3 linked regions of the Cricetulus griseus genome follow. The protein of the gene in region 2 interacts with the protein of the main gene of each other region in a biochemical or structural test. Links are inferred from orthologs where the notes say so. Each region holds a gene or a part of one and is shown on either strand. Other genes may lie near its edges. The genes, in order: Ywhaz, Bad and Pak1.

What was found.
Region 1: the proteins of Bad (region 2) and Ywhaz form a complex in vitro, tested with the Homo sapiens proteins (3 studies listed by BioGRID). The link is inferred for Cricetulus griseus from reciprocal best matches to the Homo sapiens genes BAD and YWHAZ.
Region 3: of the proteins of Bad (region 2) and Pak1, one has a biochemical effect on the other in vitro, tested with the Homo sapiens proteins (3 studies listed by BioGRID). The link is inferred for Cricetulus griseus from reciprocal best matches to the Homo sapiens genes BAD and PAK1.

Annotation. Positions count from the first base shown.
Region 1 is NC_048603.1:14,723,607-14,727,353, forward strand, and holds the start of Ywhaz (14-3-3 protein zeta/delta), read left to right. Parts: upstream 1-1,301; 5' UTR 1,302-1,441; intron 1,442-3,747.
Region 2 is NC_048596.1:52,504,740-52,508,386, forward strand, and holds the end of Bad (bcl2-associated agonist of cell death), read right to left. Parts: intron 1,661-3,647; coding exon 1,470-1,660; intron 1,106-1,469; coding exon 980-1,105; 3' UTR 534-979; downstream 1-533. UniProt on the Homo sapiens protein: Promotes cell death. Successfully competes for the binding to Bcl-X(L), Bcl-2 and Bcl-W, thereby affecting the level of heterodimerization of these proteins with BAX. Can reverse the death repressor activity of Bcl-X(L), but not that of Bcl-2.
Region 3 is NC_048596.1:101,611,286-101,614,932, reverse strand, and holds part of Pak1 (serine/threonine-protein kinase PAK 1), read left to right. Parts: intron 1-689; coding exon 690-807; intron 808-3,349; coding exon 3,350-3,449; intron 3,450-3,647. UniProt on the Homo sapiens protein: Protein kinase involved in intracellular signaling pathways downstream of integrins and receptor-type kinases that plays an important role in cytoskeleton dynamics, in cell adhesion, migration, proliferation, apoptosis, mitosis, and in vesicle-mediated transport processes.

The sequences.
Region 1 (3,747 bases), on a different chromosome or scaffold from region 2:
CCTGCATCGGTTTGCTCATCTATCTGTTTTAGCGGTGCTGTGGATCTGTGGATGTGCAGACTCGGGGTGGGTGGGTCAGGGGAAAGCGATCACAGGCAACTCTCGAGCTACCTATCTGCCATTTCAGGGAAATGATCATTTGTAGAGCAAGCTTATGACCAGACCATGTATCCGACAGACAGACACTGAGTTGGGGGAAGAACAGCTTGTCGTGGAATCTTCTGGAGAGCTATGGGCTGAATACTTTTTCCCCCCTTTTCTTTTTTCCAGCCAGCAGGAGCTGGGTAAAGGCGTTTGCTTCAACTCAGGACGCACGTTTAAAGGACGCAAGGGCACACGCTTCACGCTGAGAATGCTTCTCCCTCCGCTTCCGTCTGCTGGGTGGAGACCTTGCGGGTGCAGGCACCTGCAATTTCCGCCCTCTTCCTACCCCCTCTTCCGGGCCCAGGCGCTCCCGCCCCTGCTCGGGCGAGCGGCCCCCCTCCCACTGTCAGATGGGGGGCCCCGAGAGCGAGCAGCCAGTATCCCCAAGGTGGCTCCCAGGACCTAAAAGGCTCTTTGAGAGCGTTAAGTGGAGACAACGAGCCTCCCCGTCAAAGCCCGGCTGTGTGTGTGTGTGGGGGGGGGGGGGCAACAGTGCAGCGCCCGGAGATCGGCTCGCTGTGTGAGCCTGTGTCCCCCCAGCTCGCACAAGCCCTTCCCCTCTCCTCCCGGAGACCCCCCATTGTCTCCCTGGCTGTCACGGTCTGTGCGGGGCGACAGGAGGGACAGCGGGCGGCTCGCCCGAGCCTTAAAAGGTCTAAGGCCGCTTTACTGCAGCGGTGGGCGAGCGGGCGAGCTAGCAAGCGGCCACGCCCGCTGCCGCCCCGCAACCGGGGCTCTGATCACAATGCCCCGGCCGCAGAGCCCGCCGTCATTACCGGGGCGGCCGGGAGGGGGAGGGGCGGGTGGGGGGGGGGGAAGACGCGAAAGGTCCCGGATGTGCCCGCCAGTAGAGGTGTAGGGGGGAGGGAGCGGCTTCCTTCCGCGGGCCGCAGGGGCGGCGCGGGAGGGAGGAGGGAAGGAGGAAGGAGGGCGGCTCGCGGGGGCGGCGGGGGCGAGCCGAGCGCGCGGGAGGAGGAGGAGGAGGAGGCAGGGTCGGGGACGCGCTCTCCCTGAGCTCGCCTCGGGCGGGCAAGCGAGCGGGTGGGCGGGGCGGGCGCGCGCCGGGGGAGCGGCGGTTGCGCCGGGCACCAATCAACGGTTGCCATAGCAGCGTTTGACGTCATTGTGCGTGTGGTGCCCCTGCTGCCGGGGCTAGTGATTGGAGGAAACCCCGTGTCTGCGGAGCCGCTGTAGCCTGTGAGCAGCCAGATCAGGGACAGAGTCTCAGCCTCGCCGCCGCCGCCGCCCAGGGACACTGCCGACCGGGTCCGTGTGCCGCCACCCACTCCGGACACAGGTGAGCAGCCTCCCGGGCTGGCCCCTCCGCCGCTCGCCCGCCCCGCCGCGGCGGGCGTCCCCAAGGATCCTGGACCCGGGCGGCGGCTCGTCCCGCCGAGCCCCGGGCGAGCGCCCACGGCCGCCCCCGGGCCGCTTGCTGCTGGCCCTGCCGGGGTGCTGGTCGCCCCGTCCGCCCGTGTCCCGTGTCCCCGGGGGTGGGGGTGGCGGAGGAGGCGCCCACGCGCGAGACCCTCCCGGGTTTGGGGGGGGTAGGGCTGAAGCTCGGGCGAGCGGGCGAGCGCCATCCGCCCCCGCCGGCACCCGCTTCCGCCGCGGCTGGGACCGGGGCCGTGGCGCAGGTGAGGCGGCCCCCACCCCGCCGTGGCGCCCCCGCCGCCCCTCCCCCGCCGCGCGGGCAGCCAGGTAGCGCGCGCGCGAGAGAGAGCGAGTCTCCGGGGTGGGGCCGGCTCGCCCTCCCGCTTGCCCTCCCGCCGGGGACCCGGGGCTGAGCTTCCTGGGTCCCTCTCGGTGGCTCACTCGCTCGCACGCTCGCACACTCGGTGGGTGGGTGGGTGGTTGGGGGAGGGGCTCGGCCTGGGCGCCCCGGGGACGCAGGGGGGTCTCCGGCCGGGTGGGAGGTGAGCATCCTTCGGGGAGAGCGGGGGCTGCGCCGGTCTGGGTGGGGCCCGGCCCCTCCCATCCCCCTCCTCCTCCTCCGCAGCTGTCGGGGGCGGGAGGGGGGACCCCGGGAGGGAGAGAGCGGGGTGTGTCCGGTGCGGGTCGGCCGCCGTCGGTTCCGCTCGTGCGGGCGCCGCTGGCTGGCATCGGGGGGCCCCCTCCGGGTAGGGCGAGCCGCTCGCCGCCGCCTCCTCCCCCCCACCTCCACCACCCCACCCCACCCGACCCGACCGCTCCTCCCTCTCGGCTCGGCGGTGCTCGGGTTGGGTTGGGCTCCTTGACACAGTTCCGCCATGACAAAGAGAGAGAGAGGGCGAGCGAGCGAGCCGGGGACCGGCGGAGGCGCCAGCCTGGGCGGAGCCAAGAAGGGGAGGTGGCTGCGGGCGGCGCGGACGCGAGCGAGGACTGGCGCTGGCTTTAAAAAGTCTGGGGCGCGGTTTCGGCTCGCCCCCGCTCGCCCGCCCGCCCGCCCCGGGCAGGCGAGGGTTAAGTGGGTGCGGCGAGGGCTCCCGCAGTGTAGATGCTGGTTCTTCGTGTGCTTCCCGCGGGGAACCGGGCGGCTGAGGTCGGCGGGGGTGGGGCCGCCGGGGCCGCGCTGACATCACTTCCCAGGGCCGTTTCTGGTGTGAGGTTTCCAGACCGCAAAGGGTTAACTCGGCCTAGCCAGGCCCCGGCGCTTGTTTCAGTTGAGGATGCTTCTCATTGATTTAACGCCCCCTCCCTCCCCACACCACACCACCCCTCCCCACCCCCCAAAAAAGCGATTTCTGGAAAGGTTAAAGGAAAGGGTGCGATGGTGGCCTTGGGTGGTGGCGGTGCATTGGGCAGTGACTGTCATGGAAATTCATTTCCTGGGATCCCTGTGGTTGAGAACCGTGCTCTTGACCCCGTTCAAGGAAAGAAAAAAAAAAAAAGTTGATCAGAAATAAATTGGGATCTAGGGAACTTGAACTGCAAAGGAGATTGGCGGAGAAGACGTTAGGGCCGACTTAATAAATGGTGACTTGGAGAAAAGCCATGCAGGGGGAGTCTGCACCTAAACTGCAGTGTGACATCGCAGGGGGCGCCTGCGCTTGGGTTGGCCCTGAGTGCTCGCTCCCTGCTGCGCAAAGTGTGCATGTAACTCCATGTAGATGGGTCTGTCTGGTCTCGGGGCGAGTGATCCCTAGTGGTTTTATATTCAGGGTATCCTAAGCATCAGTCAGTCAGTTTCCTCAGATAGTTTTCATCCAGGAAGTGTAGCAGATCGGGCTGGAGAAAGTGCTAGGTAAAAGGTAATCCACTCGGGGTCAGAGTGCACACACTGAAGGTTAGCTGGCCTGACTCACGGTTCTGCGAGTGGAGTGCTCTTCATGGACCTTCTAGGTCCGGATCTGGAGTGTTCTCCCCAACGCACTCACGCACACACACACTCACACACACTCACACTCACACTCACACTCACACTTACCCTCTCACTGTAGGGAAAGGTGGTGAAGTGTAGGTCACTCTGCATTGGGATTAAGTTGAGCTTTTTAAGAAAACAAGTGTGTTGGAATACACAGCAAGGGACAGCAGGCTGAGCGATGACAGGTCTGTGTCACAGCTTGAAGGTGGCTTTTGATGATAGAGTAGCACATATATGCTCTGATCTTACCTGAAATTGGG
Region 2 (3,647 bases):
GGTTGTGGCGCAACTTATCTGCATATCCAGCGCAAAGCACTGGCCTGGGCTATAGGGGCGCCAATAAATCTCTGAACTGAGCTCTGGGCCCCGCTCCAGGTCCCCATGAGAAGCTTCTCCGTTCCCTAGTGATTGTGTCGCCCCGCCCAGCGTGCCCCGCCAGGTCCCTGAGCAGCACAGGCCCCAGGCCGGTCACACAGTAGCTGCTCACAAGGACTGACCCAAATAGGAGCAAATGACCCCCCACCCCCCGCCCCGGGGGAGCCGCAGCATGGTTTGTAGAGCGCTGAATTCCGGCGGCCGGCTGGCCTGCAGCTCCCAATTACCATATTAGAGATAAGGGCCTGGCGGTCCCAGGGGTCTGGCCAGGATCCGCTCCCTCACCACTAAGCCTAGCAGCCGGGCTCCGCTGGCCACCTCGACTTCTTGATCTCAGTCCTTGGACGGAGCCTGTTTCCCTTACGGGTAAAAGGAGTCGCTTAAAGTTATCAGAAATAGTCCGGTTTGCGGAACCCCAAACGAAGGACGGAAGATGCGGTAGCACAGGCGCGGGCTTTATTATAAAGCACGTTTGTTGCGACCACGAGCTCCCAGTTCACATAATAGGGCTGCAGCCAAGTCACGATGTAACCCGGCTCGCAATTTGGCGCAGGAGGGCAGCCCGGTACGGGAAAGGGGGAAAAGTTGCCGCTTCCGGAAGTTGGGGTAGCGCAGGCGCCAGCCTGGTACTGGAGAGAGGGAAAAGTTGCCACTTCCGGAAGTTGGGGTGGGGGAGGCGGAAACTTTTAAACTTCCAACGAGAACCACCCCTTCGTGGCTATTGCACGCACCGGAAGGGAGTCTAGCCGTTGGCCAGTTCTCCCAGTTAAAGGGACACAGCGACCCCCTTTTTATCCCCACGGCTTCGGAAAACTTCCGCCCACACCCAATATGGCGGGCGACGGGAGCGGGTAGAGTTCCGGGAATGTGGAGCAGAAGATCACTGAGAGGGGGCGGAGCCTCCTTTGCCCAAGTTTCGATCCCACCAGGACTGGATAATGCGCGTCCAGCTGGCGCTTTGTCGCATCTGTGTTGCAGTTCCTGCGCTCTTTGGGCGAGGAAGTCCCTTCGGGGAAGGAGAGTAAAGAGTTAAATGAATGAGCCTCGCCCTGTGGTCCCGAATCAACTCCCCACATTGAGTTGGAATATAAAGATCACTGCCACCTACACTTGGAGGTCAGACACGCTATTAGATGAGAGGGCTCTCAGGAATCGGGATTGGTTGGAGCCCAGAGACTGCTGGGACCCTAAGTGAAACCTCAGAGCCAGAGGTTTCACGACAGGGGGCGGATTAGAACTGCAAGTCCCGGCATGCCCTGGAACACGAAAGGGACAACCTGGTGGTTCTGGAACTACAAATCCCGAAACGCCATAGATAGCAGACGGGGCAAGCGGGTGTAGGTCCCGTCGCACCCTACGCAGGCGCTCACCTTGAAGGAACCCTCAAACTCATCGCTCATCCTTCGGAGCTCGCGGCCGTAGCGCTGCGCAGCCCAGAGATTAGGGGGAGCCGAACGTGAGCGGCCGCGAAATGGGCTGAGCTCCTCCTCCATCCCGTCATCCTCCTCGTTCCCCGCGGTGTATGAACTGTGGCGACTCCGGATCTCCATAGCCCCAGTGCCTGCAGGGATGGGGTGGAAGAGGTGTGAATCTCGACCCGCTGTTCACACTCGCCTTCCAATAGTCCCAATTCCTCCTTTGCAAATGGAGGGAGCTCAGAGTGCCAGTACGCCTTTAGTGTACAAAAGACTTTCTACTGTGCCTTTCCAAAATAGGGGCATAAGAGATAACTATCACATAGCAACTCCTAACTAGGGAGGAGTCCTGCTTAGTCTTTGCAAGGGTCTTGGAGAACAAGAAGTCTCTACATTCCATATTTTGTGGCGACAATGTCTAGAACTGTGGGTTTCTTTGTTTTGTTTTATTTTTCTGAGACTATCCTCACCACCTGGTTCTACAGATCGACATAGAAGTTTGTCCTGGGCGTGGTGGTTCATATTTATAATACCAGCACTGGTGAGGTGGAAGCCGGAGGTTGAGTTCAAGGCCACATTCTACTACAGGAGAACATGTAGTCTTTCTTTTCTCACAAATGGGGGGATGGGAGGGAGATAATAGCTACACAGGTGTTCAGAGAAGTCAGTTTTCTCAGGTTGACAAGGCTGCTAGCCCTGAGGTCCGAAGTCCCTGGGTTTGGATCCCAGAGTCCATCATCAGGCTGTGCAACTCCTGCCTTGACCAGCCACCCTTCAATTCCAAGTTAGTTTCCCTTCATGAAGGAGTCTTCCTACCCTGCATACTAATGCACCAGTGTGAAGTTCTCATGCAAGTGTAGCCATGCCCTGTGAGCTGCCAATGAATTGAGTGATCTGCTTCTCTGATCTAGATACTGTGTCCTGACCTCTGTCATCTGTACCCCTTTGCCCAGACCAGTGAAGACCCAGAACTACTCCCAGGGGCAGAGTCCATAGCTAGGCACAGCCTGCTGCCCACACCCAGGTGTCTGCAGGGAAAACTTGGGAGGAGGTAAAATCACCCCCAGGTTTGGGGGCTGAAAAGTTTGCCTCCCTTTCTCAAAGGTCAATGGGCAGAACTCTGCAGCTCAGCTTGAGGCCTGAGGATCCCAGCTGCAGACATGTAACAGAAAGCCAGAGGGAAGGACGGAACCATCATGAAAGGCCTGGCCTGGGACTGCTCACAGCACCTGGCCAGAACATACCATTGCTCATCTACAGAGTATTACAGGGGACTACTCAGCAGCTAGGTAGGTCCCCTTTTGTGACCGTGAACCCACTTCCCCAATTCCCTGGCACCTCAGTGGTCTTTGTGGCATGGGGACAGCCTGCCTCACAGAATCATCATGAGAACAGATAAGGCAGGAAAGCACTCCACCTTGTCCTGTGAGCAGCCATGGTTTTTTGGCTCCTGTATGGCAGATGTAGAGTTCTCCCACCTTACAGAGAAGAGAGCCAGAAGCTGAAAGGAATATGCCTGAGTCTCCTGGTGGTACACCCTATCTGCATTGAATAATGGACCCACGCCCTAGAACCACAGCTTTCAGGTGCTATGCTGGCAGGAAGGTGAATGACTTTCAGGTGGCCTTGGTGGGAGCTCAGTGACATCACCACCCCCTTCACTAAGGGCTGGTGAGACTGCTCAGCCAGTAAAGCTTCCAGTATAAGCCTGAAGACCTGAGTGGGAACCTTGGAATCTATTTAAAGTGGGAAGGAGAAAACGACCTCCACAGCCAGGCGTTGATGGCACATGCCTTAAATCCCAGCACTAGGGAGGCAGAGGCAGGTGGATCTCTGTGAGTTCAAAGCCAGCCTGGTATTCAGAGTGCCAGGACAGGCTCCAAAGCAATACAGAGAAACCCAGTCTCGAAAAACAAAACAAACAAAAAAAGAGAAAAAGAAAATGACCTCCACATACTGTCCTCTGACCTGCAACAGCACTTGGGCACTATGGCACATGTGCTCCTTCTCCCAACAAATCTGCTTTCATGAGCAGGGTTAAATCCTTGCTTAGGGGCTGGAGAGATGGCTCAGAGGTTAAGAGCACTGACTGCTCTTCCAGAGGTCCTGAGTTCAATTCCCAGCAACCACACG
Region 3 (3,647 bases), about 49 Mb from region 2:
CAGCATTGGCTTATTAGAAGAGGCTAAAATCCTAGAAACTCAAAATAAAAGTCATTGTCAGCATAGTAGTAACCTTGTGTACATTTTACAGCTTTTAAAGACTTATCGACACACTTTCACTTAATATATATTATAGTAATATATATTTAACATACATATTATTTTACTCATGGATTTATTCAGTAAGTGTTGGTATCTATTGTGTTGGACCCTGGGTCTAGGGTCTTGAACTAGACCTTGTAGATCTCAGATCTAGTAGAACTCTCAAGGAGGTCCTATGATCCTCCCTTTTGATGGTAATATGGCTTCCAGATCCCATCCCTATAACATGTACTGCCTGTATGCTTTTACAGGTATGAGAACAATGCTAGTCTTTCTAGTTTTAGGAGGTATCCCTTGCTATTTCAATAAAATGTAATTTTATATTTCAACCTAGTATTCTAATTTTAGTGTTTGGGACTTCACAGACCATGTATGTTTTGTTTTTTCCAGGTCTATCCCTAAGTGATTTAAAATTACTGATTATGTCCTCCAAATTTTGTACTTTTCTCAGAGTAAAGAACCCTAGACTCTTCAAAAGCTGACTGAGATATTTTCCTTTCTATCCTAGTCCCTTGGTTTTGAAATCCACTGCAATGCCTTAATGTGTTCTAACTATTCCTTCTTGCCCTATACTTGTTTTCCTGTAGTTACCTTGTGGGAGATGAGTTATGGGTTGTCATGGAATACTTGGCTGGAGGCTCTTTGACAGATGTGGTGACAGAAACCTGTATGGATGAAGGCCAGATAGCAGCTGTGTGCCGAGAGGTAAGGCCAAGGGTAAAACAGGAAGTGACCTCTATATTACCGTCCATGAATGTTCACACCCAAAAGAGGCTTCAGTCTGGGTTCTGTGGAACTGGGAGAAGTTAGTTCTGGCACTTACCATTCATACTATATTATTGTATTTTATAATTTCTATAATCATGATATTTTTCTCTAAAGCTAACATTCCAACCATGATAGAAAAATTAAAAGGTACCCAGAAGTATATACTAAAGCAGTCATTTATTCTTTAAATCTGTAATTACAGCTATTCTAACACATAATATTTCTCTTAATCTCTTTTACATACATTTGGACATACATTTGAACCATTTTTTCCTGCCTCCCTGCTTTGTGTACTGTGAAAGAAATAACGCTGGTAAGAAGGTAGTGTCATACTTCAGATAGGTAGTCAGAGAAAGTTCCACCCTTGATTTGAATATGCTTCTGAATGACATGTAGAGGCAAGCCAGCAAAATTCTAGGAAAAATTGACTCCAGGCGAAAACCGATATGGTGGCATATGCCTTTAATTCCAGCACTTGGGAGGCAGAGGCTGGCAGATTTCTATGAGTTCAGCCCAACCTATAAAGTGAGTTCCAGTACAGCCAGAGCTGTTACACAGAGAAACCTTGTCTCAAAAACAAACAAATAAATAAATGATGATTCCCCAGAAGCCCCCCCATAACATTCTTCCTATGAAATTTTAATACTACAGATACAATGGATAATTGTGTACATATAGCTGCCCTTTGGAGGTTCAAAAATCATTACATTATTTAACTTGTTTTCACCTCTACCCTTGAGATGAAAGCCTGGTGACCTGAGTTCAATCCTTGGAACCCATATGAAGGAGGGAGAGATACAACTTCTCAACATTGTACTTTGACCTCCAGATGTGCTCTGTGGCACACATACACCTCACTCCAAGTAAAAATAAATAAAATAAATAACATCTTGACACAAGCCCTGAGTTTGCTCCCCAGAACTGTACCAACAAAAAACTTGGCAAGAAAGTATAAATGTTATTTAAATAAGTACTATTGTTATTCTTAAACTATGATGGATATCGTTACCACTTTTGAAACAGCTTATTGAGATACATTCATATGCCATATACTTCATCCCCATGAAGCATATAATTCACCATTTTCAGTGTATTTGTGAAGTGACTATTAAAGGGTATGGATTTTTTTCTTTTAAACAATTGGTTTCTTGAGAGTATAGATCAGAGAAACCCTATCTCGAAAAAAACAAACAAAAAAAAAAAAGAAAGAAAAAAGAAAAAGAAAAGAGAAGAAAGAAAACAATTTCTTTGCACTTTGCATTTGTGTATATGTGTATGTGTGCATGCATGTATGTGGATGTGTACATGCCATAGTGTACATGTGGAGGTCAAAGGACAACTCCAGCTTGTAGATTCCAGGAATCTAGTTTAGGTTATAAAGCTTGGTGGCACACTCCTTTACCCTCTAAGCCATCTTACTTGCCCAGAACCAGACATTTTCATTGTACCATTTGTCACTCATTCTGTTGGGTAAATAAGTGTTTAAGCTCGTGTGTATGTGTTGGGGAATCATCACAATAGGTGCTTTGTCTTGTTCCTTTTCTTTCTTCCTTTTTTTTTTTTAAGATTTTTCTCATAACCTTTACTTGTTATAATCATTTCTAAACCTTAAAAAAAATCTATTTGTAGCCCGGCAGCCCGGCAGTGGTAGTGCATGTCTTTAATCCCAGCACTTAGGAGGCAGAGACAGGTGGATCTCCGTGAGTTCAAGGCCAGCCCTGTCTACTGAGCAAGTTACAGGACAGCTTCCAAAGCTTTGGAAACCCTGTCTTGAAAAACCAAAAAGAAATAAAAGTCTATTTGAGCTGGTAGTGTGGGTCAGTGAGAGAGTGTATGCTTGGTATTTATGAGGCCATATTTCACTTCTCAGTGCTGAAAAAAAATCTGTCTCTGTAAATTATTTGTAAATATCAGTCTCTGTATAGAACTTAAGATAAATTCAGGTGCCCACTGAACATTTGTCTTCATGTTTCATAGGGTTGTCAAATTCATTGTGTCCAAAATAATACAGACTTCCTTTCCCCAAACTGTCTACAAACATCACTTCCATGTGTCTCCTTTCCTAGACATGCAAATATAATGATAGAAAAGACGAAGCCAGCATGCAGTTTTAAATTAAAATTTAAGTTGTGTGTGTTGTGTGTTGGGTGGAGGGTTAAGTGCACATGTATGTGAATGCCCAAGGAGGCCAAAGGCATAGGATACCCTCAGGTTGGAGTGACAGACAGTTGTAAGCTGCCTAGTGTAGTCACTGAGCCATCTCTTCAACCTTCTCCACCCACACCCTGCCCCATAATGTTTTAAAAGAATATTTTGTTGGGAGAGAGAAGATTTGGTTATATAGCTGGCTCTGCCTCTTTATGTGGGGCAGGTCTGACTCTTCCTGGGAGCCTTACTTCCTTTATCTTAAAATGAGAAGGTTAGATTATTGTTAGTCTTCTGATTATATGTTTCTTCTTCTTGCACACTACTTCAACAGTGTCTACAAGCTTTGGAATTCCTACATTCGAACCAAGTCATTCACAGAGATATCAAGAGTGACAACATTCTGCTGGGAATGGATGGCTCTGTCAAGTTAAGTAAGTATGAGTCTTAGGAATGATAACGCTCCTATATGTGGGTCTGTGTCTTTGGTGAGATGGTAATTAAATAATAGTAACTGTAACATTCACCAAAGAGACCTTGTTATTTCATAAGGTATTATGGGATATTTATATTTGTCTTTATTATCTTACAGCATTTTTTTCACTATTTTTCAATTCTTTTACACATTAAAA